3 linked regions of the Xenopus tropicalis genome follow. The protein of the gene in region 2 interacts with the protein of the main gene of each other region in a biochemical or structural test. Links are inferred from orthologs where the notes say so. Each region holds a gene or a part of one and is shown on either strand. Other genes may lie near its edges. The genes, in order: hipk2, siah1 and sncaip.

Evidence for each region.
Region 1: of the proteins of siah1 (region 2) and hipk2, one has a biochemical effect on the other in vitro, tested with the Homo sapiens proteins (4 studies listed by BioGRID, with this or other methods). The link is inferred for Xenopus tropicalis from reciprocal best matches to the Homo sapiens genes SIAH1 and HIPK2.
Region 3: the proteins of siah1 (region 2) and sncaip form a complex in vitro, tested with the Homo sapiens proteins (2 studies listed by BioGRID, with this or other methods). The link is inferred for Xenopus tropicalis from reciprocal best matches to the Homo sapiens genes SIAH1 and SNCAIP.

What each region holds. Positions count from the first base shown.
Region 1 is NC_030679.2:7,971,227-7,981,892, forward strand, and holds the start of hipk2 (homeodomain-interacting protein kinase 2), read right to left. Parts: upstream 6,354-10,666; 5' UTR 5,871-6,353; intron 1-5,870.
Region 2 is NC_030680.2:74,032,697-74,043,402, reverse strand, and holds the start of siah1 (E3 ubiquitin-protein ligase SIAH1), read right to left. Parts: upstream 7,026-10,706; 5' UTR 6,817-7,025; exon of another isoform or gene 6,676-6,816; intron 5,359-6,675; exon of another isoform or gene 5,324-5,358; intron 1,850-5,323; 5' UTR 1,781-1,849; intron 1-1,780. UniProt on the Homo sapiens protein: E3 ubiquitin-protein ligase that mediates ubiquitination and subsequent proteasomal degradation of target proteins.
Region 3 is NC_030677.2:169,648,645-169,658,770, forward strand, and holds part of sncaip (synphilin-1), read right to left. Parts: intron 5,858-10,126; coding exon 5,025-5,857; intron 870-5,024; coding exon 690-869; intron 1-689. UniProt on the Homo sapiens protein: Isoform 2 inhibits the ubiquitin ligase activity of SIAH1 and inhibits proteasomal degradation of target proteins. Isoform 2 inhibits autoubiquitination and proteasomal degradation of SIAH1, and thereby increases cellular levels of SIAH.

The sequences.
Region 1 (10,666 bases), on a different chromosome or scaffold from region 2:
CTGCCCAGTGTTTATATATGGGAGAAGGGAAGAGTTGATGCCAATTAAATTTAGACATTTTGCAAATGGTCTTTTTTTTGGCCTCTCTTCCTGCTAATTAGGTCTGGAAAAAAATGCCAAATTAATTGGAATTGTGGGCACCGCCTACAGAAACTGTTTAACGTAGGGAACTAGATTCTCCCTACTGTTCCTATTAGAAGTAAAAGTTCCAATCTGCAAACCTGGCAAAGACAATTTCCTTTCAAATCATTTTGAAACTTTGATATTTCTTCCACTGGAAGTAATTTTTTTTCATTATCCGGAAACCTGCTATCCAGAAAGCTCTGAATTACAGGAAGGCCATCTCCCATAGACTCCACTGTAATCAAATAATCCAACAAATAATTCATTTTTCTCTGTAATAATTAAACAGTACCTGTACTTGATCCCAACTAAGATATAATTACCCCTTATTGGGGCAGAACAGCCCTATTGGGTTTATTTCATGGTTAAATGATTCCCTTTTCTCTGTAATAATAAAACAGTACCTGTACTTGATCCCAACTAAGATATAATTACCCCTTATTGGGGCAGAACAGCCCTATTGGGTTTATTTCATGGTTAAATGATTCCCTTTTCTCTGTAATAATAAAACAGTACCTGTACTTGATCCCAACTAAGATATAATTACCCCTTATTGGGGCAGAACAGCCCTATTGGGTTTATTTCATGGTTAAATGATTCCCTTTTCTCTGTAATAATAAAACAGTACCTGTACTTGATCCCAACTAAGATATAATTACCCCTTATTGGGGCAGAACAGCCCTATTGGGTTTATTTCATGGTTAAATGATTCCCTTTTCTCTGTAATAATAAAACAGTACCTGTACTTGATCCCAACTAAGATATAATTACCCCTTATTGGGGGCAGAACAGCCCTATTGGGTTTATTTAATGGTTAAATGATTCCCTTTCTCTGTAATAATAAAACAGTACCTGTACTTGATCCCAACTAAGATATAATTACCCCTTATTGGGGGCAGAACAGCCCTATTGGGTTTATTTAATGGTTAAATGATTCCCTTTTCTCTGTAATAATAAAATAGTACCTGTATAGCGTAAAGATCCTTTATCCAGAAAGCCCCAGGTCCGAAGCATTCTAGACAAAGGGTCCCATACCTGTATGCTGGTCAAAAAGTCTATCAAAAAGGGTTGCTCTAGAAAAATGTATTAGAAATTGTGCCTGGGAAAAAATTCTCTTGTCTTTTACATTCCGTCAATTTTCACGGGAAATACTTCTTTTTTGCTAGGTCTACAGAACTGAAACGGTGTTCAAAAAAAGTCTATGAACAAGAGTCGAACTCGGAACTGTTCTGTAAATATGATTGAAAATGAAGAATTTCATGGATAAGATATTTCCTTGGACTAAAATTGTTGAAGGAGCCAGCACTACACATTAGAACTGCTTTCAGCTAACCTATTGTTTCTCCTACTCCCATGTAACTGGAGGAGTCCCAAGCCGGACTTGGATTTCTTACTATTGAGTGCTATTCTGATACCTACTGGGAGCTGCTATCTTGCTCCCTTCCCATTGTTCTGCTGATCGGCTGCTGGGGGTGAGGGGAGGGGGATATCACTCCAACTTGCAGCGCAGCAGTAAAGTGTGCCTGAGTCTGAGCTTTCAGAAGGAGCCAGCGCTACACATTAGAACTGCTTTCAGCTAACCTATTGTTTCCCCTACTCCCATGTAACTGGAGGAGTCCCAAGCCGGACTTGGATTTCTTACTATTGAGAGCTATTCTGATACCTAGTGGGAGCTGCTAGAGACCGATTATATTTTTGTAAATAGTTAAAATAGAGGTAATAGGAACAGTTGAACCAAAAAATGAATGTTTTTCTAAATTCAATCTTTATAAATTGGGCCCATAATATTATCCATGAAGATATAGAAAATAATGTTGCTCAGTAGAACTACAGAATTATCTCTCACTCTATATACACATTATATATATATATATATATATATATATATATATATATATATATATATATATATATATATATATATATATACACACACACACAGTAAAAATCATCTGCCCTGGTTCAAAAAAATAAAGAAATAAGCACAAAAAAGTTCTGCACTCAAGGCAAATAAATATGTAATTCTTTTTTTGCTTATCTATATATTTATATATAGATATATAAGGACTGCCAATGCACCCCAGAGAGTCATTACTGATGTACAGCAGTGGCAGAGGGTTAGTAGCACTTATAGTGGCAGTAGTAATAATAATGCAGCAGTGCCCATTGAGGATAACAGCATAGCAGTATCTATAGTAGTAGGGGGCAGATGACAGTAGCATTGGGGATAATAGTATAGCAGAGGCTATAGTAGTAGGGGGCAAATGACAGTAGCACTGGGGATAATAGTATAGCAGTGCCTATAGTAGTAGGGGGCAAATGACAGTAGCACTGGGGATAATAGTATAGCAGTGCCTATAGTAGTAGGGGGCAAATGACAGTAGCACTGGGGATAATAGTATAGCAGTGCCTATAGTAGTAGGGGGCAAATGACAGTAGCACTGGGGATAATAGTATAGCAGTGCCTATAGTAGTAGGGGGCAAATGACAGTAGCATTGGGGATAATAGTATAGCAGTGCCTGTAGTGGTAGGGGGCAAATGACAGTAGCACTGGGGATAATAGTATAGCAGTGCCTATAGTGGTAGGGGGCAAATGACAGTAGCATTGGGGATAATATTATAGCAGTGCCTATAGTGGTAGGGGGCAAATGACAGTAGCACTGGGGATAATAGTATAACAGTGCCTGTAGTGGTAGGGGGCAGATGACAGAAGTATGGGGCAAATGACAGTAGCATTGGGGATAGTTGTATAGCAGTGCCTGTAGTGGTAGGGGGCAGATGACAGAAGTAGGGGGCAAATGACAGTAGCATTGGGGATAATAGTATAACAGTGCCTGTAGTGGTAGGGGGCAGATGACAGAAGTAGGGGGCAAATGACAGTAGCATTGGGGATAGTTGTATAGCAGTGCCTATAGTAGTAGGGGGCAGATGACAGTAGCATTGGGGATAATAGTATAGCAGTGCCTATAGTGGTAGGGGGCAGATGACAGTAGCATTGGGGATAATAGTATAGCAGTGCCTACAGTGGTAGGGGGCAGATGACAGCAGCATTGGGGATAATAGCCCAGCAGTGCCTACAGTGGTAGGGGGCAGATGACAGCAGCATTGGGGATAATAGCCCAGCAGTGCCTATAGTGGTAGGGGGCAGATTACAGCAGTAGGGGGCAAATGACAGTAGTATTGGGGATAATAGTATAGTAGTACCTATAGTGAAAGTGGGGGTGATAGAAAAAATAATACTGCATTACCCCCTACAATGGCAGCAGAGAAAACAGCACTTTAGCGCCAACAGTGGCAGGGGCCAAAATAGCACAGCAGCATGTACGGCAGCCCCAAGTTAATGGCATGGCAGCTTCTGTAATACTAGTAGGGGTAACTGCAGCGTTGCCCACGGTTTGGGGTTGCAACACTCAATCCTACAGCTTTCAAAACTGCAGCCCCATCTGTTCCTGAAACCCCGCTGTTCCCAGGGGCGCTGGGAATTGTGCATCAACTCAGGTCCGGAATTTGTTTTATAAAATAATGGGGTTCTGCCTGGGCCCCAAAGCTAGGGGAGCTGATGCTGTTAAGCTTTACAAATGGAACAGTCATTTCATGATATTGATAATAATTCAGATTTGGGCGCTCGTCGGAAATAAATCAGGGCTCCCTGGTTGGGGGGGTGGGTTCCTCCTCACTGCCAGCAGGGGGCACCCAATCAGGAATTCTATGAAGTCAAAATCTTCCTCTAAAACCACCCAGACAGAGCACTGGGCTGTGGGATCCGCTGGTGCAGGCTTTTTTATATAATAATATAATCTTTTGTCTCTGCTTCTCGCTGCAGTCGGACTGACGCAGACCGCAAAGCCGCAGAATTGTGCAGCCACTGCAGCAGAAACCCGTACGGCGTTGAACATGTTAAACGGGGATATGGGGTTTTATTTTTTGCTTAAGCGCTGTAATGTACTAAAGAAGGGTATGTTCTAAAACAGCCCCGACATTGTGCCCAGTGGCCTGTCACACGGGGAGGGATCGCTTTATGGCACTTCCATAAAAAGCAGTTAATAAATAACCCTTCCCTGTTATATAAGAACTTTATCCCGAGTAACAGTCTCTCGAAATAGATCCTGGGCAGTTTCTATGTGAATATGTAACAAGGCAAGGGCAAGCGATTCCTCTGTATTGTGCCTTGCTGGGAGTCAAGGAGTTAATGAGAATTCATTCTACACCCTTGCAGAGCCACAGAGGGAGGCGCTGGGGATAGAGATATATATATATACACACACACACACACACATACATATATATATATATATATATATATTTACCTATATACACACACACTAGTTTTTTCAAGGCCAAACTAAGATAATAAAACAATGGCAGCCCCCCCCCCCCCCATCCTTCCTACAGAACCAAGGAGAAAAAAAACTCAAGTTCAGTTTAGATTTTTAACCCCTCGCCCTATCACACCCATTATTTACAGGCAGCCCCTGTGGGTGTATAAGTAGAGACAGAGGAATATATACAACATATCCCGTATAATAACAATATATATATAATAGAGGTGAGAATTTGGTGTTGAGGTGAGGTAGAGAAGAGGGGGTGCAGGATATTCCATATTGGAAATAGGGGGGCAATGATATAGAGTGGGTTCTAGAAGAGGGGGAGCAGGATATTCCATATGGGCAATAGGGGAGCAAGGATACAGAGTTGGTTCTAGGAGATGAGGGGGTGCAGGATATTCCATATTGGAAATAGGGTGGCAATGACACAGAGTGGGTTCTAGAGGAAGAGGGGGTGCTGGATATTCCAAATGGGCAATGATATAGAGTGGGCTCTAGGAGAAGAGGGGGTGCAGCATATTCCGTCTGGGCAATGATATAGAGTGCGTTCTAGAAGAAGAGGGGGTGCAGGATATTCCATAGGGCAATAGGGGAGCAAGGATACAGAGTGGGTTTTAGAGGAAGAGGGGGTGCTGGATATTTCAAATGGGCAATAGGGGAGCAAGGATACAGAGTGGGTTCTAGGGGAAGAGGGGGTGCAGGATATTCCATATGGGCAATAGGGGGGCAAGGATACAGAGTGGGTTCTAGAAGAGGGGGTGCAGGATATTCCATATGGGCAATAGGGGGGGCAAGGATACAGAGTGGGTTCTAGAAGAGGGGGTGCAGGATATTCCATATGGGCAATAGGGGGGCAAGGATACAGAGGGGGTTCTAGGGGAAGAGGGGGTGCAGGATATTCCATATGGGCAATAGGGGGGCAAGGATACAGAGTGGGTTCTAGAAGAGGGGGTGCAGGATATTCCATATGGGCAATAGGGGGGGCAAGGATACAGAGTGGGTTCTAGGGGAAGAGGGGGTGCAGTATATTCCATATGGGCAATAGGGGGGCAAGGATACAGAGTGGGTTCTAGGGGAAGAGGGGGTGCAGTATATTCCATATGGGCAATAGGGGGGGCAAGGATACAGAGTGGGTTCTAGGGGAAGAGGGGGTGCAGGATATTCCATATGGGCAATAGGGGGGCAAGGATACAGAGTGGGTTCTAGGGGAAGAGGGGGTGCAGGATATTCCATATGGGCAATAGGGGGGCAAGGGTACAGAGGGGGTTCTAGGGGCAGACACAATGCAGGGCAGGGGTAAGTATGGAAGGGTCCATTTGCAGATGGGGGGGCAGGGTGTGGAAATGATAAACACGGGGGGCTCCCAATGTTGGGAAGGGGGGGGGGTTGGAATTAGAAAATCACCCTCAGCTGTTCCTTACCGCAGTCTGGGTCTCTCCACCGCTGCCATACCGGGGGCCTCTCTGGACGCGCTTTGGGGCTCCCCCCACAGAGAATAGGGGGACAAGCTTGTGACCCTGCCGGCTCCCGTCCGCCTCCCGCATTGATCAGTCAGTCAGAGCCGCTGCAGGTCCGGCTGCTCCCCCATCTTACCCGCTGCACCCCAATAAGCACCGGGAACGCCAGTGGCCTGCCCTGGAAGGTGAGCGGGGGGGGGGGGGGGTAAATGCAGATATTGTTTCTAATCAACGCAGCCCCCCTGCTGGCAGCTATTAGAAGCCCCCCCGGGCAGCCTTCCAGCCCCCTGTGTTCCCCTCAGTCCGCACCCCCATGCAGGGAGCCCCCGCACCCAGCCTCCCAGCGAGCTGCACGGAAAGTTGCATTTAGGAAAGAGAAAAAGGCAGAGGGGGGGGGGGGTGCGATCCCTTCTCTGTGTGTCTCTTTCTCCTGCCTTCGCGGAGCAATCGAGCGCCGATCGCATGGATTCCAATGGGGAGGGGGGGGGGGGCGGGGAGAGGCTGTACTTTCTCAAAGTGTCTCCCCCCTCCCCTTCTCCTCTTCTCCTCTGCTGGAGAGGCTGTGTGGGATTTCTGTTTAACCAACACATTTCAATCAGGAGTAAAAGGGGGGGAGGGGGGGATCCTATTAACCCTTCATGGAGTCACAAAGGAGCTTGGTGCAATGGGAGAGGGGGGGGGGGAGGCAGCCTTGCTGTGTTTGTATTGGGGGTGGGTATTGAAAGAGGTCATCTCCCCAGTCATTATCCAGCTCCCTGGGTAGGTTTTATGAAGTGCAAGCTCTTGGGGCTGGGGGGTAGGCCCAAGACTGCATTATTATTATTAACGTTTATTTATAAAGCGCCAACCTATTCCGCAGCGCTGTACAATAAGTGTACTACAGGTGGGCAAAATCGGGCGAATCTAGGCTAATTCGGTTCTAATCGAAACAGAACGACGGGTATAGAAAAAGTCGAATCGGGGACCACATCCGACTAAATTATTTAAGCTGCCGGATCGATATATGTCTGATTTCAGGCCAGATATCGGTCGGGCAGGCCAGTCGTTAGTGCCCCTACACAGGCAGATAAGCTGCCGAGTCGGTCTAAAGGTGGCCATACACGGGCCGACTATAGCTGCCGATATGGGTCCCTTGGACCGATTCGGCAGCTAATCGGCCCGTGTATGGGCAGGGCAGAGCGGCCTGGCCGACCGATATCTGGCCTGAAATTGGCCAGATCTCGATCGGCCAGGTTAGAAAATCCGGTCGGATCGGGGACCGCATCAGCTCGTTGATGCGGTCCCTGATCCGACTGCCCCATTGCCGCCCACATAATCCGATCGTTTGGCCCCAGGGCCAAACGATTGGATTATTTTTTTTTTTACCTAAATGCTCCCCGATATCGCCCACCCGTAGGTGGGGATATCGGGGGAAGATCCGCTCGCTTGGCGACATCGCCAAGCGAGCGGATCTGCTCGTGTATGGCCACCTTTAGGGACCCATATCGGCAGCTACAATCGGCCCGTGTATGGGGACCTTTAAGCTTGGCGATGTTAGCAAGCAAGCGGATCTTCTTCAGATATCCCCACCTACAGGTGGGTGATATCGGGCGAATCCAGGCTAATTCGGTCGTTTGGACCTGGGGGCAAACAATCGAATTAGAGTGCCAGTAATAGGCGAAGTCGGATCGGGGAGCGCATCAATGAGTCGCTGCAGTCCCCGATCCGACTAAATTTTTGAAACTGCACGATTGATATCTGCCCGATTTCAGGCCAGATATCGGTCAGGCAGGCCCGTAGGTAGTGCCCCTACACGGGCCGATTAACTGCCGAATCGGTCTAAGGGACCCATATTGGCAGCCAGGGGCGGGCGTGGCCGACCAGTTGCCCTAGGCAACCCAGGGGGGTGCCATGGGTCATTGCCCCCACCACGTATTTACAAGTGGCGGGGGCAATGACAAAGGAGCACGGACTAGGGGTAGGCAGAAGAGGCTCCCGCCTTGCGCCCCCCAATCGTTGCGCCCCCAATCGTTGCACCTCCCAATCGTTGCGCCCCCCAATCGTTGTGCCCCCCAATCATTGCGCCCTAGGCAGCTGCCTCTTCTGCCTACCCCTAGTTCTGGCCCTGTCGGCAGCTACAATCGGCCTGTGTATGGCCACCTTTACATATAAAGCAATCAATAACCGATACAAGAGGTGAAGAGAGCCCTGCCCAAAAGAGCTTACACTCTACAAGGAGTAACATATAAAGCAATCAATAACCGATAAAAGAGGTGAAGAGAGCCCTGCCCAAAAGAGCTTACACTCTACAAGACTATTAGTCCTGGGCTTCATGGAAAGGAAAAACACAGAACAAAGGGAAAATGATACTGTTATATTGTGTATATCCTATAAGGGCTGCTCTTTAACCCTCAACATCCCACCCACAGGCTACAAGGCATACTGGGGGGGCTGCTCATTAACAGCCACAGGTTGTACACCCCTGATTTATTCAGTATATTTTACCCTGCCCCCCCATTAACTACTGCTTTATAGTGAAACTGTTGTTTGACTGTGTCATAATACCAGTTATATTTATACATAATTGGCTTTCATATTTATTGTTTAATAATATAAATATTTTTCATATTTTATAAAAAGAAAATAGAATGATATGTGGGGGTTACTACATAACACTAAAGAGAATCAGGGTTCTGGTATAGAGTGTTACTGGCACCTTATAGATCCCTATGGAGTTGGGATGGGGCCCATAGATGTCCCAGAAAGTTAATTAGAAAACCTATGCCCTTAGGGCCCCGATTAATTGATAATTGAATAATAAAGCACACGGAGGCATTGCCTGCTCCCCCTTGTACTGGCATCACTGGGGGGGGGGCACTGTTGATCCCCATTGTATTAAAAATTCAATCTGTAACAAAACACTGATTAAATAAAGGGCAAGTGCACCACATATTACACCAGTTTAACCCATTGACAGCAGCACCCAGTAGTATGGTGTCCTTCATTATGGATATCCCTTATTGTCATTTGCCCCCAAATTCTCACCAGTAACTAAGGCAACCAGTTTTTTGTCTCCCTTGGCTCCCTCCCATACCCCCGAATTGTTACCACCGCCATGGGGTGTGAACCTAGAGACCAGTTTGGGTAGGTTTTAGCCAATAGGAACATAACAGCTTAAAACAGTCCTGGCCTTTTAACCTTTTAGACGCCGCCCTGCAATGCAGCAAGGGTTAATGTGGCAGTCAGGCCTGTTGGTGAGGCTGACAGCAAGGAGATTAATTTGGCTTGAGTTCTGTGTAACACTACACCTGTAATTACTGCTGCCTCTTCCTGATATTCCTACACCCCCCCCCCCCCACCACCACCACCGCTGCCATGGAATATTCTCTCACCAGAAATATACCCCTTTTACCATTTCTATTTCCTAGTTTGGGGGTGCTACAGACATTTTTGATAGCATTTAGCCCAGTAGGTCCCAGTTGGAGGGCTTTAGGACTGGAGCAGAGCATTTGCCTGTGGGGGTGAGAGGGCCCTGACCCTTCAAGGCATTTTCATTGGTAGGGTCCCCAGGGGCCGATGTAGGTGAGTAAGGATTGGGGATCTTATAATCACCTCTTGACTATGGAGAAAGTTCAGTTCTTGTGGTGCCCAGTGTGGGGCGCTGACCTGTCCCAGCTCCTTACAATAAGGCACTGGGTTTATATGCAAAACCCAACTAGCGCCCCCCAGTGTTGGGTAGGGGGAATATAGACTTTGTTGACTATTAGTTAGAAAATACCATAGGATCTTTAGGAAGGCCCCTGTCATAGGGGACCCCAATAAAGGACAGTTCCCATCAGGGTCAGACTGGGCGGCCCAGACCCAACCCTTGCCGGCGCTCCCTCTGCCTGACCATTCCTCCCCTGACGCGTTAAATTTACGTGAGCTCAGGGGAGGACATTGGTGGGGGGCCCCTGCGGGGGGGTGGAGTTAGGGTACGCGGCCTGCGGGGGCACCAGCAGGGCCCCTGGGCACCCCCCAGTCCGACCCTGGTTCCCATCAGGGCTTTAATATTTGCACCATAAGCTAATGCCAACCAGGATGGTGTCTTGTAGATTGTAAGCTCTTTTGGGCAGGGCCCTCTTCACCTCTTGTATCGGTTACTGATTGCTTTATATGTTACTCTGTATGTCCAATGTATGTAACCCACTTATTGTACAGCGCTGCGGAATATGTTGGCGCTTTATAAATAAATGTTAATGTAATGTAATGTCTCTGCCAGGGGTGAAATAGCTCATTCTGCCTCCTAGTGCCCCATTTGAGACTGCAGTGCGGCCAATCAGTTTGCAGGGAGCCTGATGCACTGCTTCTACCCCAGCATTGTTCCATTCCATGTGACATGAGCCATAGATCTATATGGCAACTAAGGGAAGGCAGAATAGGCACCTCGGGTCAGACATTGGTGGGAAAAAAAAGCAAATGTACTTCCCTGTGTTGCCAAATACCTGCAGAGTCCTTGTGACTTCAGATTCTTGGATTTGGGTTTAATCATTAATACAGAGTTATGCTGAGCCCGGGCAGTGCCAGAACCTTGGCAGTTATTATTTTAACAGGATACAGCAGGAATATGGGAGTGTTTTTTTTTTGGGGGGGGGGAGGCATTGCAGCTAATGTTGTATTAGATTGTTAGCTCTTTATAACAGGGTCCTCTATCATTGGTATATTTGTACACTTGATGTATGTTTCCATGTTATACACCCATGTACTGTATGCAAGGTCGGACTGGGGTGTACAGGGCCCTA
Region 2 (10,706 bases):
AGTGGCCTAGTCAAAGTCCTGACCTGAATCCTATTGAGATGTTGTGGCATGACCTTAAAAAGGCGGTTCATGCTAGAAAACCCTCAAATAAAGCTGAATTACAACAATTCTGCAAAGATGAGTGGGCCAAAATTCCTCCAGAGCGCTGTAAAAGACTTGTTGCAAGTTATCGCAAACGCTTGATTGCAGTTATTGCTGCTAAGGGTGGCCCAACCAGTTATTAGGTTCAAGGGGCAATTACTTTTTCACACAGGGCCATGTAGGTTTGGATTTTTTTTCTCCCTAAATAATAAAAACCCTCATTTAAAAACTGCATTTTGTGTTTACTTGTGTTATCTTTGACTAATAGTTAAATGTGTTTGATGATCAGAAACATTTTGTGTGACAAACATGCAAAAGAATAAGAAATCAGGAAGGGGGCAAATAGTTTTTCACACCACTGTATACACTATATCATTCAATGTGGGGGCTAAACAATCAGAAGCTAATGTTACAGCATCAGAATATTTGCTAATTTCAAGTGGGATACCAACCACAGAGTGAAAAGTGTGGCCATATCTATAATAATTCACTTTTTTGGCAGGATTACCAAACAAATGAATATTTCTCCCGAAACCGGGCTAATTAGATAGTTAGGGCCAAAGACTGATGTAAAAAATGACGGGAATAAGAGCCGTCAGAACGAGGAATGCATCAACGAACCAATGTAGCCCTCGACCCCAAAGTGACCCTCGAATGGCAAAAGCAAGCCTGCTCCATTGCCATCTGGCTGATTCTTTGCCAGATATCAGTCAGGGAGGCCTGTCAGAGGGCCCCATACACAGGCAGATAAGATGCCAAATTGGTCTGAAAGACCCAAATCAGCAGCTTATATCTCCCCAGGTATGGCAACCTTAACTAGATACAATATCTCTAAGGCAAACAACAAATTTCCTATTTCTACACTGTATTATGTAACAATAAAGCAAACAATATAAGCCCTTTAACAATTTTATTTCAGAATCCCTAAAAATAAAACGCGTGGGATGGCAACCCTATACACAACCGCACCACATTACAACAAATTAAACTATCAAATTATGGCCAGGCACATGGTAAAAAACTGCTTGTAAAATAAGGGTTTCCATTTGTACCATTTAATCTACATGGGTGGAGATTACTCATTTTGTTCAAACCCATACTAGGAGCTATGCAGATTATTACATATTGGTGATTACCCAACAATGCAATAAACATAGTAAACCAGCTGCACACTTTGTAGTACTGGTAGCAGGAAGCGTGCTCTGCATTAACTTGGTGTATGATAGTGAATTATTGAGGTTACTGCTAAAACATTACCATTACCAGGAAGAGCACAGAGCAAAACAAAAAAGTAGTGGTTATGAGCACCAGTTCAAATAGCTGTTCCTCCTAAAATGTGCTGTCCCTTGATGGCAACTGGGCATATAAATGTTTTATACCATAATGAGCAGCAACTTTGATATCCAATAAAAATTATGTCACTGATGGTACTGCAATGTTGTGTGTTGTTACAATGTTCCATGTATATATGCATACATACATATACACACACACACACAGTGTAAATTAGACAAAAGCAATTCCAAGAAAGTGGAAACACCATAATATAAAAAGTACCTCTGCATCCATTAAAACTAAAATTTTCTTTATATTATAAGCTTTTGAAAGTTATTCGTGCCACTAGCATAAAAGCATTACTGTTCTAAAATCTATCTCATTTTTTTTCCACATATTTTTTTCCATGTTTCATTCGCCCTACCTCTATTTTACACTGGATTTCTTGTCCTGTGCACTCCGTTCTTCCTGAAGGCAACATCCAACCCACAAACTATACCAAAAAGAGAAAAAAATGGCACATAAGGAAAATGTTATATTTTATGGGTAAACAGGTCTAAATATAATTGACATTGGATACTGCTTAAAAAAACCAAGAGAATACATAATTGCTTTACAATGACTATATTATTTTAGTCAACATCAACAAATAAAACTCAATAAAACATAATACTAATTTAAAATGTACACAAATATTTTTATCATGGATTCTAACATATTGGATTAAACAGTTTTTTTAGTTGGAACACTGCAAAAAGTTGAGTTGCATATCATTTAAACCCTATATTGCATTGCAAGTAGTACAAAGACAACATATCGTGAAACCAAGGAGTGTTGCTGAAAAGCAAATTCTCATTTTGAATTTAATGCCATTAACATGTTTTTAAGAAAATTGAGACAGAGGCAACAAAAGACAGGGTGTAAGGCCAAAAAGAGCAGATCCCAGAGAGGCTGGGCCACTTAAGGTCCCCATACACGGGCCGATTCTAGCTGTCAATATCGGTCCCTTAGACCGATTCGGCAGCTAATCGGCCCATGTATAGGCACTAACGACGGGCCTGCCCGACCGATATCTGGCCTGAAATACTAAATGCAAGTAAAAACTCTACCATGCATCTGTACCATCCAGCAAGACATTCTGATAAATAAGAATTTGAAATTCTTTTTGGAAATCATGGATGCCATCACGGAAATTAAGGGCCATCCTCATTGTTATCAGAGCACAGTTCAAATGTAATGGTACCAGAAGGGGCATCAGTTCCTACACAATATGTTGTTTCTGTACTATTTTCAATTGAATATAGGATATAAACAATTTGCAAATCATCCCATTCTCTTTTAAATTTATGTTTTACACAGTGTTCCAGTGCTTTTTGTTTTACACACTCCCGCAACCGATTTGCTTAATAAAGGTAAGGCAAAATCTGAACTGATGCACAGACAAAAAGAAATAAAACCAATCAAGATATACAGTAAATTATAAAGCTGGGCCATAAACATAATAAACATACATATAATAAGGCAGGGATCCCCAAACTTTTTTACTTGTGAGACTTGCTTAGACGTAAAAGTGTTGGCGAGTCATAAAAGCATTAAAAAAAAGGTCCTTGATGATGCAAAATAAGGGCTGTGATTGGCTACTTGATAGCTCCATGTGCACTGCTGCCACAGCAGGAGGCTCTGATTGGAGTAAAAATGTCTCTCTGTGCTTCCAAACTTATCTCCAAGCTAAAAAATTACAAATGGGCACCTGTTTTTAAGACACTGGGACAACATGTCACAAACCATTGGTTGGGGACTGTTGCAATAAGGTAAACTTTTACTATTTTCAAAGCATCACTCATCATGGAAACCCCTCCAGCAGCAACTGTGAAAAGCTATCATGTAATCCTATAATATAATAATGGGATTGTGGATGAAAAAACAGATTATCTTGGACAAACAATGGCACATGGAGTGGACATTAGTGACCCATAGTCTTTACTCTTTCTGGTGGCTGCTTATAAGATTCCAAGCAAACCCCCTTACAACATAAAATTCTATCTTCAAGGGGATTTAAACTTAACATAAAACCAGTCTAATATCTGCATAAACTGGGAATCACAAACTTAATTGCAGTTACAAGTAAGTGCTTCTATGAGGATCCTGAATGCCAATACTAGATAAGTCACACTGCTGTTGTCTAGCACAGGCAGAACTATTACTGGTTAGGGTCCCTGCTAGAAACAATGTGGCCAATGCCTCCAACATCATTTACACCTTCAAGGTGCCCATACAAAGGGCAGATATTGGCTGCATCAATATACACTTATATACATACATATGTTCATTTTTTTTTTTTTTTAAAAGGTATATGTGTGTGTATATATTTTGTAGTTTTAAGCTGTGCTACCACCCCCCTATCCCCCCTTTGGAATCTGGAGTTTGCTTTTTTAAGATAGAATGGTCTCTGTAGGGCTAAGGGCTCTGGCACACGGGGGGAGATTAGTCGCCCGCGATTAACTCCCTGTTCGCGGGCGACTAATCTCCCCGAGTTGCCTACCCCTGCCATCCCACCGGCGAACATGTAAGTCGCCGGCGGGATGGCACATGCGGCGGAGCGATTTCGCGCGAATCGCCCCGCCGCGTCTGCCATCCCGCCGGCGACTTGCCATCAGAAACTTTGGGGCCCCACATGAACACAAGCATACAGTACCAACATTTTATCCAAGCCCCATGCGTGTGCAATGTAAACAGCTGATGTTACCCTATAATAAACAGTTCACATAAGGCTAATGCCACACGTTGCGTATTCTCAGCAAGCCGAAAAACGCTTGCCCTACGCTTGCCCTACGCTTGCCCTTCCTTGTGCCTGCACCAAAAAGCATTGAATACGCTCAGGTGCAGGCACACGTTGAGTATTTCTACCTAAAACTGTGTTTATTTCAGAAGTGGATCCGCTCCCTTATGCACCTCAGTAAAACTGCATTGACAAGTGCAGCTTCCGCCTCTGCCCAGCTACACAAAGTAGAGCAGAGTAAGAATTGATCTGAAAATGCGAAACCAGAAAAAAAAAAAACTCAGGCTAAGAGCAGGAGAGGAAACACTCTGTGTACCCTCAGCCTAAAACATGGCCAGCCCTTTCCAACTTTACATATAAGGAGCTCTTTATTAAACAACCTTCTTCCTTTTAAGAGATTAACAAAAACAATATATAATCTTAAGTAAAACTAGGAATGCACTGAATTGGCTACTTTTAGCAGTCTGGCCAAAATTAATCTGGTGGAGAAAATTTGCCTTGTACACGAAGCGTGCACACCGGTGTTTCCAACTTCATCTTTGGGAACTTCCAGGTTTGGGTGAATCCATACCCAAGAATTAAGGGATTCGGACGAATACCAAATTGCTAATTTCCATGCATCCCTATACAAAACACTAGGCAAATAGTTAATACAAACTCACTGTAAACAAAATGGAAAAGGGCACCAGAAGAGAAATACATTTGAGAATTAATATTGATTATTCATAGTTCTGGAGTTTTCCAGGTTAAGGGGTGTTTTATCACTATGAGGCACCATGGCCTTATGTTTAAAACACTTTAAACATTAAATAACTAATAGAATTGATTTCCAACATGGATTTATGCTAGCTTAAAATCAAGTAACAGTTATAGTCTTATTGCAGAGGAAAGGCAAATCCATCAAAAGTGAGTAACCGTCTGCTTGAGGAGGAAACTGTGTAATGTCAACGCTTTTAGAATAATGGGTATCCAAAAAATAGATCCCTTACCTCAACACAACTTCCTACCCACCAGCTCTAAGAAATGTATTGCTTTTTGTAGCTTCTAAGCTCTAAAGCAAAAAATATTTTCAATACAGCATTAAAAAAAAAAAATGTGTTAGCAGCACCATTTTGCATCTCATCTTTATCACTTAATCTTTAAAATGAGCTGCATAAGGAAGAAGAGATATACAATAAAGGTGCGTACCCTAATGAAGCATGTATCCGAGTGCTGTTGAACAGACAATCTAAAAACAGAGGATTAATTCATTAAGCCACAAATGTTGCATCATTTATAGTAATTAAGCAGCATCACAAACAGTAAACAGAACAATCACCTATAAATGAAATCATTTGTGCTTCCTCAGTTACAACAACTCCAAGGCTATGACCGGATGCATCACACTTAGCGGCTGCACTGATAACTCTTGCTATCGAAAGAGAGGGTATAACCACTCAACAACTGAAATGTTTGTAAAGAAAAATTCCTTTACATCGCAAGAACTCAACATGAATACCGCTGTTTTCGACATGTGGGCAGGAGTACTAGGATACTGTGCATTAGGTACATCATCATCATCTCTTACACTTAAATCCGTGCTATTCCCAGGATGCAACTCTCATTGGATGTTTTGGAAATCATGTGTTTATGAAAAATAATTAATTATGAGAAAGAAATTAAGGGTGTCCGCTTAAACCCCTCCTCTAGTTGTTAAACCATAATAAGCAACAAGGAAATAATGTAAATAGGTGTACAACTCCAGCCAAATGTTGGGAATTGTAGTACAAGAGCTGGGGGGGGGGGGATTCATAAATGCCAGGATTCACAACACAGCAACTATCACATGTCACTACATCCACAAAAAAAGCATTGTCTGCAACAAGAAGCAGCACCCCCTTGATTTGTACAATTGAACGGAAGGCAGCTATAGTGCGAGTGATTTCTCTCTGGGGGGGGGGGGGGGGAATTAGGACACAGATCAGGAAAGGGGGAGGGGAAAACACACAGGAGGGATTAGGCCACAGGCCTTGGTTTGGCAACAAGACAATAACACTAGAAGCAACAATACAGGCTGCTACATAGGCAGGGACAATGACCGGGGTTAACAAATGGCTGATGATGCGGTTAGGGTGTGTTGATTATTTACATTAGCCAGACAGAGCTGCCAGATTGCCACTTCAACACCGAACACCCATAAGGTGCAAGTGCAGCAGGGCTGATGATGCAATGTGGGAGTATTTGACAGAAGGAAAGAAAGAGCAGAAACCCACAGCAATGGGGCTGCCATGTCATACCATTATAAGCAGACACCCATATAATCCTTTTGCCAACATTATTTGCATAAAAAGCCACAAAACAAATAGAGAAAGGTCGGGGTCTGCAGCAGCCAGCCACTTTCTCTGTATGCAAACATATGTCATAGCCACACGTGTAGGAAACATCCATTAACCCTTCCCCCACATACACAGCAATATGGGCTCCCCCACCCCCTCCTCCTGCCGTGCATTATCCCATGGGCGCCTGAGAGACAGGATTTATACACAGCGTCGGAGTCCAACCTGCGGCCCTCCAAATGTAGCTCTACCATAACTCCCAGCATCCCCGATCTGCATGGTACGACAAAAGCCGAAGGGCCGTGGCTTAGCTATCCTGGCTCCCGATGCAGTGTTGCCATCTCATAGAACACGGGCCGCGCTCACCTTCCCCAGGAGGGAATCCGCTTTGCTATTATGCCGCTTCCTGTTCGGCTTCCACTGTGACGCACCAATTATCGCACTCACAGGATACCGGAAGATAGGTCACAAAATCCTTTATCGCCGGTAAGACGGCTCCTTTACCGGGTCTGCTTCCCACTCCTTATCTCTGTGGAGCTGCCGCCGTCCCCCGTACTCCGAGTGCGCGCACCCCCCCTACTTCCACAGAAAGACACTGCAGAGGGAGCGAGCGTGCGCGGGCACAAAGAGTGGCGTCACTGCTCCCGCGCTAACACGGCGCGCTCCCGCCACGGATTAGGCTGCCCTCAGATGGTCGAGCAGAAAGCCACGCCCTCTTGCGTATACCACGCCTACCAACAATTTGCACGGGTAAATGGCAATTGTTTGCTTGTTCTGCTGTAAGAATCTATATACTCTCTCGGTCGTCGTTAGCAGATGCCTGCCAACCTTACTGCTTTATGGAACAAATGAACCATTGAAGGGACTTTCGATTCATTATTTTAAGTTAACTCTTAGCGTAACGCAAAAATAATAAAAAAAAACGGGACTGAATTAGTATCGTGTAATACATTTTTAAGGGTATTTCAATAAGGTGCAACATTTGGTCGGGGCCTTAATCAAAGCCACGTTTCCAGTAATATCTAAGACAGTAAGCCAGTGACTACTTAAAATCCCACCCTAACTGATCTCAAGGAATTATTAGAAGAGCAAAAAGACATCTGTCCCAGTTGGGCCCTAACTGGCCCTCAGGCCCTGCTCACTAGGGAAGCCCCATAGTTATAATATGGAGTTGACATCACTGACCATGTTTTTGCAATCAATGGTCTTAATGTATGTCTTGTGTATCTCTCTCTCTCTCTCTCTCTCTCTCTCTATATATATATATATAGATAGATATACATATAATATATTGCAAAAATAACATCCTTTTAGGAAAAAATGTTTTTTAGGTCGCCTGAAGAAGTGCCGGGTTAAAAGAGCACAAAACGCACCAGCACGTTGTACGTCTCACATGCACATGTGCCAAAAATATTAAGCAGTCTAAAAAAAATGGTATTCTGAGTGCCAGAGGCATGATGGAGAAAGGTGTTCATAATGTCAACAATATGGAATCAACATTATTCTGTTAGAGTAAATAAAAGAATAGTCCAAGACAAATTAGTATTTACAAGCAGCAAGCACACTGGTTCCTAGGAAATTGAAAAAACCCTCCACCAATGAAATGGGAATGGATACAATCAATAGAAGAAACAAGGAAAATGAAATTTACCCCAATAATGTCATAAACATATAAGATAATTGGGAAATTTGGTTCCCGTTGTTGCCAAATTTCATATGATTCAAAACTAACTAGACGAGGAGTGTGTATACAAAAATCAGCAACAATTTTACTTCAGTGGAGCATCCCCATGTAATATATTGCAAGATTTTAAACCTATGATAGAAAAGAGAATACCATTTAATAGCTACTGCTTCCTTTGTATTTGGCCTATTTGACAAAGTGCTATTATGTTGGAGCTTTCCTTTGGTTTGAAGGTATAACCATATATCTATATACTTTGAGTATATAACATAGTGAAAATTAAATTAATGTACCATGACTATATACAGTAGATATAAAAAGTCTACACACCCCTGGTAAAATGTCAGGTTCCTGCACTGTACAAAAATGAGACAAAGATAAATCATTTCAGAACTTTTTCCACCTTTAATGTGACCTATAAACTGTAACACTCAATTGAAAAACAAACTGAAATTTTTTAGGTGGAGGGAAGAAAACCAAAAAAACTTAAATAATGTGGTTGCATATAAGTGTGCACACCCTCTTCTAACTGGGGATGTAGCTGTGTTCAGAATTAAGCAATCACATTCAACATCATGTTAAATAGGAGTCAGTATACACCTGCCATGATCTAAAGTGCCTCTCATTAACCCAAAATAAAGTTCAGCTGCTCTAGTTTGTCTTTCCTGACATTTTTTTAGTCGCATCCCACAGCAAAAGCCATGGTCCACAGAGAGCTTCCAAAGCATCAGAGGGATCTCATTGTTAAAAGATATCAGTCAGGAGAAGGGTACAAAAGAATTTCCAAGGCATTAGATATACCATGGAACACAGTGAAGACAGTCATCATCAAGTGGAGAAAATATGGCACAACAGTGACATTAACAAGAACTGGACGTCCCTCCAAAATGGTCAGGGAGGCTACCAAGAGGCCTACAGTAACATTAAAGGAGCTGCAGGACTGGCAAGTACTGGCTGTGTGGTACATGTGACAACAATCTCCTGTATTCTTCTTATGTCTGGGCTATGGGGTAGAGTGGCAAGACGAAAGCCTTTTCTTACAAGGGAATGGCTTCACCGGAAGAAGATTAAAGTTTTGGAATGGCCCAGCCAGAGCCCAGACCTGAATCCGATTGAAAATCTGTGGGGTGATCTGAAGAGGGCTGTGCACAGGAGATGCGCTCGCAATCTGACAGATTTGAAGAGTGGGCAAATCTTGCAAAGTCAAAATGTGCCATGCTGATAGACTCATACCCAAAAAGACTGAGTGCTGTAATAAAATCAAAACGTGCTTCAACGAAGTATTAGTTTAAGGGTGTGCACACTTATGCAACCACATTATTTTAGTTTTTTTGGTTTTCTTCCCTCCACCTAAAAGATTTCAGTTTGTTTTTCAATTGAGTGGTACAGTTTATAGGTCACATTAAAGGTGGAAAAAGGTCTGAAATGATTTAACTTTCCATGATTTTTGTACAGCGCAGGAACCTGACATTTTATCAGGGGTGTGTAGATTTTTAATATCCACTGTATGCTTCCCTCCCACAGAACTGCTCCTGCATTAAGTGCAATAGTGCTTCAGCACTAGGCCATGCAGCCCCCCAGACACACTCTGGGGGGCTGCGTACTAAAAGTAGTACAAGCCAGTACAGGGGGGCCTGCTGAGAAAACTTTTAGGTAAGGTGCAGGCATGGAAGTGGGTTGCGGTAGCCCTTCTGCTTACTGAGCTTCTGGTCCCGGGGACCAGAGACTTAGCTGTTGAAAAGTTAAAGGACAAAAGGTAAAAACTAAGTAAGCTGTATCAGAAAGGTCTATGTAAATACAGCCATAAGCACTCACAGAAAAGTTACACTGAGTCCTCTATCAAAAGAAACACAGATTACCTGTCTCATTTTTTTGTAAACATGTTCTTCAGTATCAGATTTCCTCTCTGTTAGGGCTCCTTTAGGTTTGGGGCACAAACCTGTGCAGTTCTCGCCTCTCTCCCTCTCCCCCTCCCTTCTCCTGCTCCCCCTCCCATAATAATTCATAATAACTCACTCCCCCCTCCCTTAGGAATGTGTGATCTGAGCTACAGTTAGAGCTGCAGCAGGAAGCTACAAAGACCAAGCTAAAATGGCAGTTACTATCTTAAACGGAAGGAGCTATTAGGGCTCTTTACTCAGGTATGGTAAAGCTTTCTGCAGAAAATATATAGAGTCCTAGGTGGCACTAATGTGGCTAACCTATAGGCAGTAAAATGCCAAAATGCCTTTCCATCTTCTCTCTGTCTCCTTTTAAATGTGGTTCTCTACTCATGAACCATTTTCCATCATATTTTCATGTTGCACCAATACTGATTAGTGTATTTTATCTAATGTTTCTTAGGCAGGCCCTAGATATTGAGCTTATTTTGGTGGGCCTTAGGAAGCTCAGTCCAACAGTGCTTTATTACATACAACATCCAGTCTTCAAAAAACTTAAACAGGTTAATTGCAATGCCTTAAAAAATAAAGCAAGCTCTGTATACTGTAGCATTTGAAACTGTGGTTGTTCTGTTTTACTAAAACTATCCAGTTTTTTACATTCCTGGACTGTTATACAGTAACGGTGTTTT
Region 3 (10,126 bases), on a different chromosome or scaffold from region 2:
ATGAACTTATATTTCTTAGATATCCCTTTTAATCTTCTAGCTCAAATCTTATTCTAAACAAGAAGAAAACTGGAAGTATGCCATATCTTGACATAAGCAGAAATCCCATTTGTAAATCATCATGCTAAACAGTAGATAAAAACCAGTGGGGTTGTTTACTTAAGTCTTCAAAGTGGAAAGCTTGGCACAAATCCTGTCAGTGTCTATGATATTTTATTTACGAAGTAACCTAGATCGCTGATTCTCCTCTGATTATATAACAGTGAGAAGGCGCCGTAATGTCTAATTTGCTTGAAGAATCAAATAACACCTGAACTGCTGATTTTCTCCCCCAAAATTAATACAGATGCATTTTTTTAGCTATCTCTTCACTGGTCACTCAGGTCTCATTGGATATCAACCGGGGAATCTTTAAAGTACAACTAGTAGTGTTTGTTGGATGTGGTTGAATTAACAGATCACATCCTATATGTCAGATGTAGGTACACATGGCTATTAATAAAATCTGATCTATTAACAACTAGGATTTTGCATCCAACATGACAATTGGAAGGGAATATGAAGGTTTTGTAGGATGCCACAAAATCTTGAGCTGTTGCATGATGAGTTCCTATGGGTCAATTAAAGACAAAAATCTACCGTGTCGATCTGACCTGTTTGCCAGCACAATGCGACCAAACAAGAATTACCTTTATTGCTAAGCCAGCAGGAGTAAGTTTCTCATCATTCCTTTCACTCAAGCAGTCTTCGCCCATGAGAGAAGTAAGGTGCTGCAAGCATTCGGCATGGCCCTGGGATGCGGCAATATGCAAAAGGTTGTTTCCATTTTCATCATGGATCTGATCCAAATTATCAACGGCAATGTGCGGCTGTACAAAGGAACAAAGGAAAAGCACAACTATCATTGCAGAAAAATTTATGGAAAGAATCTGTCTTTATATATGTTGTAAATTTACCATATCTGGAGCAAAAAGCCACAATAGGCAATATGTTCTAGTTTTTGCTGTATTTCTTTAGTTAAAGCTGATTTCAAGGCAAACCAAGAAAGATTTCCAGTTAAAACATCATATTTTAATAAGAGAAGGAGATGGAGCAGTGTGCTTGCCAAGATGTTCTGGCATTTAAACAGCTCTCAGTAAAATATGATGAATTCATGAACATTTCTGATGGATCTGCATTATGGCAGCCATTACCTTTGTTATAAATGTTTGTGTATAAAAGGCAAACCTGTTTGTCAGTGCTGTAAACAATGGCATAAAGGTAATGCAAAATGATGAAAAAAACATATAAAGGCATAAAACTGAGTGGGAATTCATTGCTGCTAAATTAAGTTTTACAATCTTTGGTCAATAATGCACAGAGTCAACCTATATAATAGTTCCCAAGCTGATACCTGTGTCAGGTAGAATGTTATTTATGCAAGAATGAAAGAGAGAAGACGCTACTGTGACTCAAAGATTTATAAAAATACAAACCATCGTTCAAACCAAAGAATACATGAAGAATGCAGAAACAAAATGGCATCTCTGAATTCCTCCCCACCTGTCAAGGGATAATAATGGTGGTTGTAGCTGAACAGCCAGAGGACCACAGGTTGGACCTTCCTTCAAACAGTATATTTAATAATATAATATACGTAAATGTATATGGCAGCATGGTACAGCTTTTCTAATTAAGATACACATTTAGAATGGCTGAGGTGCCTGGTGATATACCCAATAAAACAACACATTGTGTTCCTGTAGATAGCACAGACATGTCAAATAGCCAGCACCATTAGCATCTGCAGACAGCCGTTGCCAATCTCTTTCTGGAAAGCTGACAGGTTGGCTTGCCTTCTGTCTGTCTCCCTTTTATCACTTATTACTTAGTACAACATCTGCAGCCCACACCACTAGTAGACTCAGCTATATAATAATTACAGGAAGGCAGGCTGAGTGCCTAGTTGGGACACTGTCCAGTCAGAATAAACTCTCATTATTCCAAGAATACTGTTAATGATATTTCCAACAATGACTTACTATTCTAGACTGTAATTATCCATAAAGAGGTTAGGTACAGAATGATTCCACCAATGCTCACAGTAGAGGGCTAAATTGGCTTATAGGTAAGGTACAAATACTTTCCACAGCATTACTTACAGATGCAGGAAATCATAGAGTGGTGCCCCCAAAATTCTAATTTTTCCTTTTAATGAATGATTTTTGTTTTTGTCAGTCTTTTATTTTTTCTTGGCAGAATACCCCTCGAACCAAACATTTAATTAGGAAAATTTGCTGTACCACAAGAACTTCATATTTACTTAAAATAATATGCCCTCCCTCACAACTTTTATTTTAGCTAAGAACAATGTGTTGCTAAGAGTATATTTTGATTCCATACTAAGAATTATATGCCTTGCCCCAGATTTTTATTATAGCTGAGAAAAATATATCATATAGTTGCTCCTATACCTTTATCTGGGCTTACCTGTATTTTAAATGAGCATAAGATACCTTTCCCCTAGACTTGTATTTTAGCTAAAAATAATATGTCTTTCCCCCAGGACATTTATTTCTGCTGAGTACAATATGTCTTGCCCTGAGACTTTTACTTTTTGCTTAAAATAACATGCCTTGGCCCCAGGGACTTTAATATATTTGGTGATAGATGATATTTAAGTTTTTTTGGAGAATAATGAAATTTCAAGAACCAAACTACCATCTATCAGCACAGATTTAGAAGTCTCTGGAGAACAAAGACTAACATTACCTTCTTAAAGCCTAAATAAAAGCCCAATTCCCAACAGCTGCTCAGTATGTAAGTATGTATAACTTTATTTAAAGAGTGCTTTTAGGATACTAGTATTTTATGATTATGGTAATTCTGAAGAGCAAGTGTCCAACCTACCACTTGCACAAAATAACTACTTTGATAGATATCTTTTGATAAAACCCCTTTCTATTAATCTTGTTGCAAGATGGTCCTTTTTTGCCAACGCCATGTATTCTACACCATGTGGGACGTGAAGCGTTAAACATGGTACTATAAAGTTCAACATTATGATTCTTCAAAAGAATCTCCATTCAAGTGGAAATCTGGTAACATTATTTTGAGCTGACTGTGTCAGGTTTTTATAGTTATTCATTTTGGACTATAATGTGTTTCACCAAGTGCTAAAATCCCTTGGAAGGTTTCACTACTATCGTTTCAAAGCTATATTCCAGACAGTTGCACAAATTAACAAATTAAACTTATAGTGAATTTCCCTGAATACTATATAATCTTATGAGTGCCGGAGGGTTCAACAGCACATCTGTCATCAGAATCAACGCACATAAATTTTATTTATAGCAGTCAAGAAATTACATTTGTCAACTGATTCAGTGCAGGTGTCTTTGTGTTTTTTGTAAATCATGGAAAAGTCTTTAAACTTGAGATGTGATTTCATTTATTTCACTTATGTATATATATACATATATATATATACATACACAGGTATGGGATCAATTAGCTGGAAAACCCATTATTCAGAAAGTTCAAAATTACGGGAAGGCCATCTCCCATAGACTCCATTTTAATCAAATAATTAAAAATGTTAAAAATGATTCCCTTTTCTCTGTAATAATAAAACAGTACCTTGTACTTAATCCCAACTAAGACATAATTTATCCTTATTGAAGGCAAAACAATCCTATCTGCATAACAGGTCCCATACCTGCATGTATATGTATATTTACACACAAGAGTTATGAATAATCTATAAAATGTTATTATAAACAGGGATTAACGAAGTCATCAGCTCTGCTTTGTGCTTTGTGATGTCACATGACAAACTAAAATGTGCAGTTTCATATATAAAAGCACTCGGCTTGTGGCCTTGATCTTCTATGTGGTGTTGGAATTCCTCAATGATTTACAACAGGGGGTACGGTATTCCCTCTATAATGTATTTGCAGTATAGTCTAGGAAATGGCTTGCTCTTCTCTGATTGCATGACTTGCCATGCCCTAATGGAGATTCATTGCAGGAATTGCCCAAGTACCTTTTTAATTGTTGCATACCAGTAGAAAATGACACACAGTAAAATTAATTGGACATGTATCTAAAGGCACAAAGAATGAATAGCCTAGGTCCCATTGTATAAACAATGCCATTATATACATGAAATCAATTATATTTTGTTAACAAACTTTGCACTAATGGAAAAGACCACAAAATTAAGCAAAAACCAACACAAACTTACATAAAATGCCTGGTGCCATCCAGCAGGTAATACATATTTTCCTAATTAACTCCAACCTGGCGAGCATTTATAGTAATTGTGGTTAGAGTAACAGAGAGGCCCAACATATAACCGTACACGTTAGGTATAACTGTCAGCAAAGAGTAAGCCAGAATAAGGCTACAGGTTTAGAATGTGCACTAGAAATGCATGTTATTTTGTAATGTAAAAGACCAGGCTGCATGAATTGCTTCATGTTTTTAAGCTATTATTTGTCACTTGGTAACCAATAATAATGGCTCCTAATTAGCAAAGCTTTGACTAGCAAAACACTTTGCATGGGTCGGGGGATATTTATCTTTATGCTCAGCCTCTGCCTGTGAAGTCTGTGCTGTGAAGTGCTGGCAAAAAAGTTCCTCCGAATACTAATTGAAGGACAAGAGGCAGGCCGGTGTTCCCACGGTGAGCAATGACAAGCAGCTGATGGCAGCCAGGCTTCCTTGCATTGATAATGAAAGCTATTTCAAAGCTGACACAGTGTAAACATATTGAAAAATAAATAAATAACTCAATTAATCATGACGAAAATTTGTTGGTTCTTGCGGAAATGAGCTACAACATATGCATCAAATTATACCCAACTACTCCTCCCTGTTTCCCCTCTTTGTCACCTACACATATATACATACATATATATAGATTCAGTTCCCATTAAAGTGTTTGTGTTTTGTTTGCAAACAGTCTGCAGATTGCAGTCTTTGCTACATAAAATTCTTCTGCCTCCTCAAAAACAAACATTAAAGAAAAAGTTTTGACTCACCAGCAAAGATATTTGGCCTTCTTTAACAATGTTTATTATGCTTTTTATTTTCTTCATATCTTCACTTCTTTCCTCAGAAAAGTTCCAGTTGAGATTACCATTTATTCCATCCAGTTGTGTGTCGGTAGCTGCTCCCTGCAGATGGAAAGCCCTGAGCTGGCAGTTTGGCATATTCTTTTCAAGTTTCTGTGCATGGGAATCCGACAAAGTCCTGTTAAGAAAGCCCTTGTTCTGGTATTCAGGTTCATGGACTGAGCCACTTTGAATACCAGACTGAGAAAGCTCTAATCCCCCAGATGAATGCCTGTTCTGATCAAGGACAGAGGGCTGGGCAGGGTTTTTAACAGGGGATAGCACACAAAATTGTGCACCGTTTGATGATAAATTTTCTACGTTTCCAATAGTCCCAGTTTTTCCTTTGACCAATGGGTATATATTTGAAGTCCTTTTCTCAGCTGCAACCTTAGTAAATAGACTGAGCTGTTGGCTGGATTTGATGTAAGGCACGTCCAAAATCTCATCCATGTCCAAGTCATAATGTTCAATTTCACCAAGCAAAACACTTGCTTCAATACTCTTAGTTTTATAGCCCCCATCATCAGCAGGAATGTTCTCTGTGGTGCTGGACTTATCTGGATCACCATTCTTTTGGTTTTCCTCTTTTTCTTCTTTTTGGTCATCACTTTCATTGATCTGAGGGCTCTCTGGCTGATGTTTTAGTGGGGAAACTCTTTTCACTGGTCTGAATTTACTATAGACATCTGCAATTCCTGTTGGCTTCTGTGTGTTTCCAATAAGAGTTGACACTCCACAGCTCCAATTTGTGCTGGAAACTAAAATATCATGAAAACAAATCATTATTTAGGAAGGCTTTCAAAAGACATTCACATTAAATGAACCAAAAAAATATATGTGTGAAGTTTCTTTCTTTATAGACAAACATTTTAGGACATTTCCCTTCAAATTATTTATGGGGTACATTGTAATTATGTCAAATCATTGGGCCTGGATAAAATATTCTAAATAGACATCACAACTCAACTATACACCTTTTGAAGTGAAATACAAGAGAAAAATGGGGGAAACTCTAGTGGGGGTCATTTTTTAAACTCTGGGCAGTTACTTCCAATCAGAAGTCTGCCTTAATTGTTACGCAGCTGGCTGGTAAAACATAATCACTGGTTTCTGCAGGTTCCTGTCCAGGTGTAAATTCACCCAGTGTTTATAAATGAGCCCTGAATCTTCTCTGCTACCATAGGACATTACAGAAGATGGCTTAACCTATAGGTAATACTGCAACTAACCATTTTCTATTCTTTCTTATTCCAAAAATATCTGCCATTGTAACCCTACTCTGAATTTTGTAAAGCAAAAATAAATAAATATATATATATATTCTCACTCCTTTTCGACACTGAATGTTTTTTAGGCAAAAGAAAGGAAGAGGAAATATACACATACGACCAGTCTGTATGTGCACTCCGCAATAAACAGTATTTTTTACACGAGCAAAACGTTTTGTATGCATTTCCTCTTCCTTTCTTTTGCCTATTGCTATATGCACTTAGCCAGGTGCACCAACGGATAACGGACTGAGTTTACTACGGGGAACTGTGAGTGTATTTTTGTTTACTGAATGTTTTTTAGACACTGTGGTTGTTGTATTTGTCACTTTGAAAAAGGCTAGAGTGCTAGCCGAATTGTTAGTCTCCCCCACAATAAGTGTATAAGTCCTGTGAGTACGGATCCTTTACATTAGAAAGTCGGCACTCACGATAAAGTAAATCAGACAACCTGGGTGCAGTCCATACAAATCATTGAGACCAATATCATCCTACGAGGAATCAGCACTCACAGGACTTATGTGCAAAAAAAATTTTTTTTTGTTCTCCAAATAAAAATCTTTTTTTGCACATAAGTCGTGTGAGTGTGGATTCCTTGTCGGATTATTTTGGTCTATATATATATATATATATATATATATATATATATATATAGGACAATATGTGAGCTAAAACTATAAAAATGTAATTGTAAGTGACAGTATTTTCTACTACCCTTCTTATGGCTGCTGAACCAGGCCTGTTCCTGTTCTTCTATGGTAAATAAACTTATGGGCAGCTTTAGGCATCAACTCAATATTCTTAGAGAGTACAAAAATGTTTGTGATTTTTTTTAAGGGTGGGTCCTGTATGAAAAATAAACAAAACTATGCCTTGTTCTGCTGGAATAAAATGTGTTTTGTTTCTGGTGGAAATTTGATACTAGGGGTATTTAGTCTTTCAAGCTAGGAAAAATGTAGGGATACAGCAACTTTTACAATGGCTTGTATGAAAAGCCTATGCAGGGCAATCAGAACAATTGCTTTATTTAATAATGTGATGTTTTAGAAGGAATTTACTAAAAGTAAAGTAATGATTTCCAACAAATTAGCCAACAAGTAAGTATAGAATTATCATGCTAAAACTTTGGAGACAAATTACTTTTTAAGAGTATCTAAAAGTCTGTGAATTTAATCCTGCTGATAAGGAATCCCAAATATCATATATATTGATAAATATATGCTATAAACAGTAAAAGTAATTACATTTTAAAGCCAATTAATATTTATGAGGCAAACTAGATAAATTCAAATTGCTCCTATAGTTTATGAGAAAATATCATGGAGCATGTCAAGTTGTTTTGAACTCTGTGATCTTCCCTGCACAAATTTAGGGCAGCATGCCGCCCAAGCCACAGTGAAACAAACAGAGCAATGGAGACCGGACACACAGAAACGTCAGCATGTCCTCTCCCCACTGCTCCGTATGTGAGCTAAGTGGGTGCACATGCGCGGAAAGGAAGAAGGAGGTGGGTGGGCGTAGAAAGGAGGTGGTCATGGGGGTGCCCAGTTATCAAATCTGGCCCCGGACACAGCTAGAAAAATGTTTAAGTGTATGGGCAGATTGTCAGCCTGCGTTTATCTGCAAGCTGACAATTCACCTATGTGACCCTACCCTAAAAGATTTAATTAAAGAGACAGCATGCACCCCTTTTCAACATGATCTAATGAATAGGGTTTGTGCTGAACATAGTTGTTGGCTGCTGTTTTAATAACAAAATACCTATAGTTTGCATTATTTCTAGCACTTCTGATCCTGTAGGGCATAACAGGAGCTGATAAAACTTATTAATAGTCCACCAAGAGTCCCTAAGGCTAGGAAGGGGTTTGTTCTGAATAAATTAACCTGTTTATAAAGTTTTAAATCAGTACTTTAGAGTTGACAAAAAAAAAATAGGAAAATAAGTTGTTTTTTTAAATTAAAACTATAATTAGAATGTCATTTCAACACAATGCCTACTTATTATGGTCATTTTTAGCAAATGTGTTCACAACAGCTTCACTATTTCTCTTTTGTTTGTACAATGTATCCTCCTACTTCGGTGATGCACAGGCTGAAACAGGTGGTTGCAGTTTGCAGTCACATTGGTGATATAACGGCAAAGACAAGTTAACAACTTCTAAATGATGGGTTCCTGCCTAACGAACTAATGACCTTAAAAGGATTTACTGAGGCTGTTCTTGTACATTTCTTTCCTTTTATTAGTCAAAAGGATCTCTGATTTCTTGACTACCCAAACTTACAGAATGTAAGCTGATGTAAAAAAAAATTGAGAAATCTTGGCGTTTTAGTAAATCTGCCCCTGCGACTATATAAACGCATGCAAAAAATTTCAAGGTGCATCATTTTGTTACTTTTTTAAAGATTTAAACACCTGGAAAAAGTAGAAAAAATTCTTCGCAATTGGAGCACCATACTATTGGACTTTTCTGCCAAAGTAGATTTTTCTTCATTATTAGAAAAACCAAATAGAGCCAAATCAAAAAGTCATTTGGTTTCAAGCACTGAATAGCCAAAAGCAACACATCTCTTTAGATGATACAAACTTCTGAGGATTTTGCTTAAAGTTGAATAAGCAAATTAGGGCTTGGATTCAGTTTGGTATTTGGCTGGATCTTTTTGCCAAGGATTCAGTATTTATTCAGTGCATCCCTATATAATATAAAAATGAAAACCTAGGTAACAAAAATACTAGAACACAGCATAGAAATAAGGTATTATTTATAAATATAGAAAGATAAGCTTAATTATTAAAGATCAAATAGAGAATCCCACAGGTTTCATTCAAGGTTCCTATCCATTAATCTTGTAGTCATCTTAATGAAGCCAATTCAATTATACTATCAGATTGAATCAATTTAAACTCTCACACCCCACATAAGGATCGGCTGGGAAGATGAAATACTAGCAGGGTAGTTGTGTGAGGTATGTAGCTACGTGATGAAAACTAATTAGTCAAAGCAACATGAATAAATGGATATCGGCATAAACAGGTTTTATCTAAGGCAGAATGGTAATAAATCATAGGACTACACTGCACTTTATTATTTCTATTGATTTCACACGTTTCTACAATATGTTTACAGTTGGATTTCCTTTTGTAGATGACATAATCATTCTCAGGAAACAAAGTTGCTTTACCCCCCTCTGTGCCATAGAATGTAGAATCTATAGTGCTCAAATAAAGGGGCCGTAGTGCTGTAGATTTGACATTTCTGCTCTTTGAACTATGCTGCGCACTTGTTTACTTGGCAACTTGCAACACAGATTAAAGGTCTGGCTGCTGGCACAGACAGAGTTAAAGTTTAGACCTCATTTTATTATTGGTGTGTTACATGATAAATAGTTTGTGTGTATTTGTATGTGATATTTTAATGTCAGGGTGTGAGTCAGACTCCATATTTCATTTTCCAAACTGGAGAGCGCGTTCACTTGCTAATACACATAATGTAACAGGCGCATTGCAGTTATCAATTTAATGCACAATGCAAGTCAAGTAGACTGGAAATGTGATTCTTGAGTAAACACTGTGATAAAGTAAATTCCCTTGTAGCTTAACTGCAGCTATTGGGCTAACAGACCATCCTTATGCGTTTTTATAACACACAATGATGTGTTTTATAATAGCTCTAAACTAAATTGCTTTCAAATATGAGAGCATGACAGATCCAAAGAAACATTATAACTCTACAAATGTAGAACCTGTTCACAATAATGTGT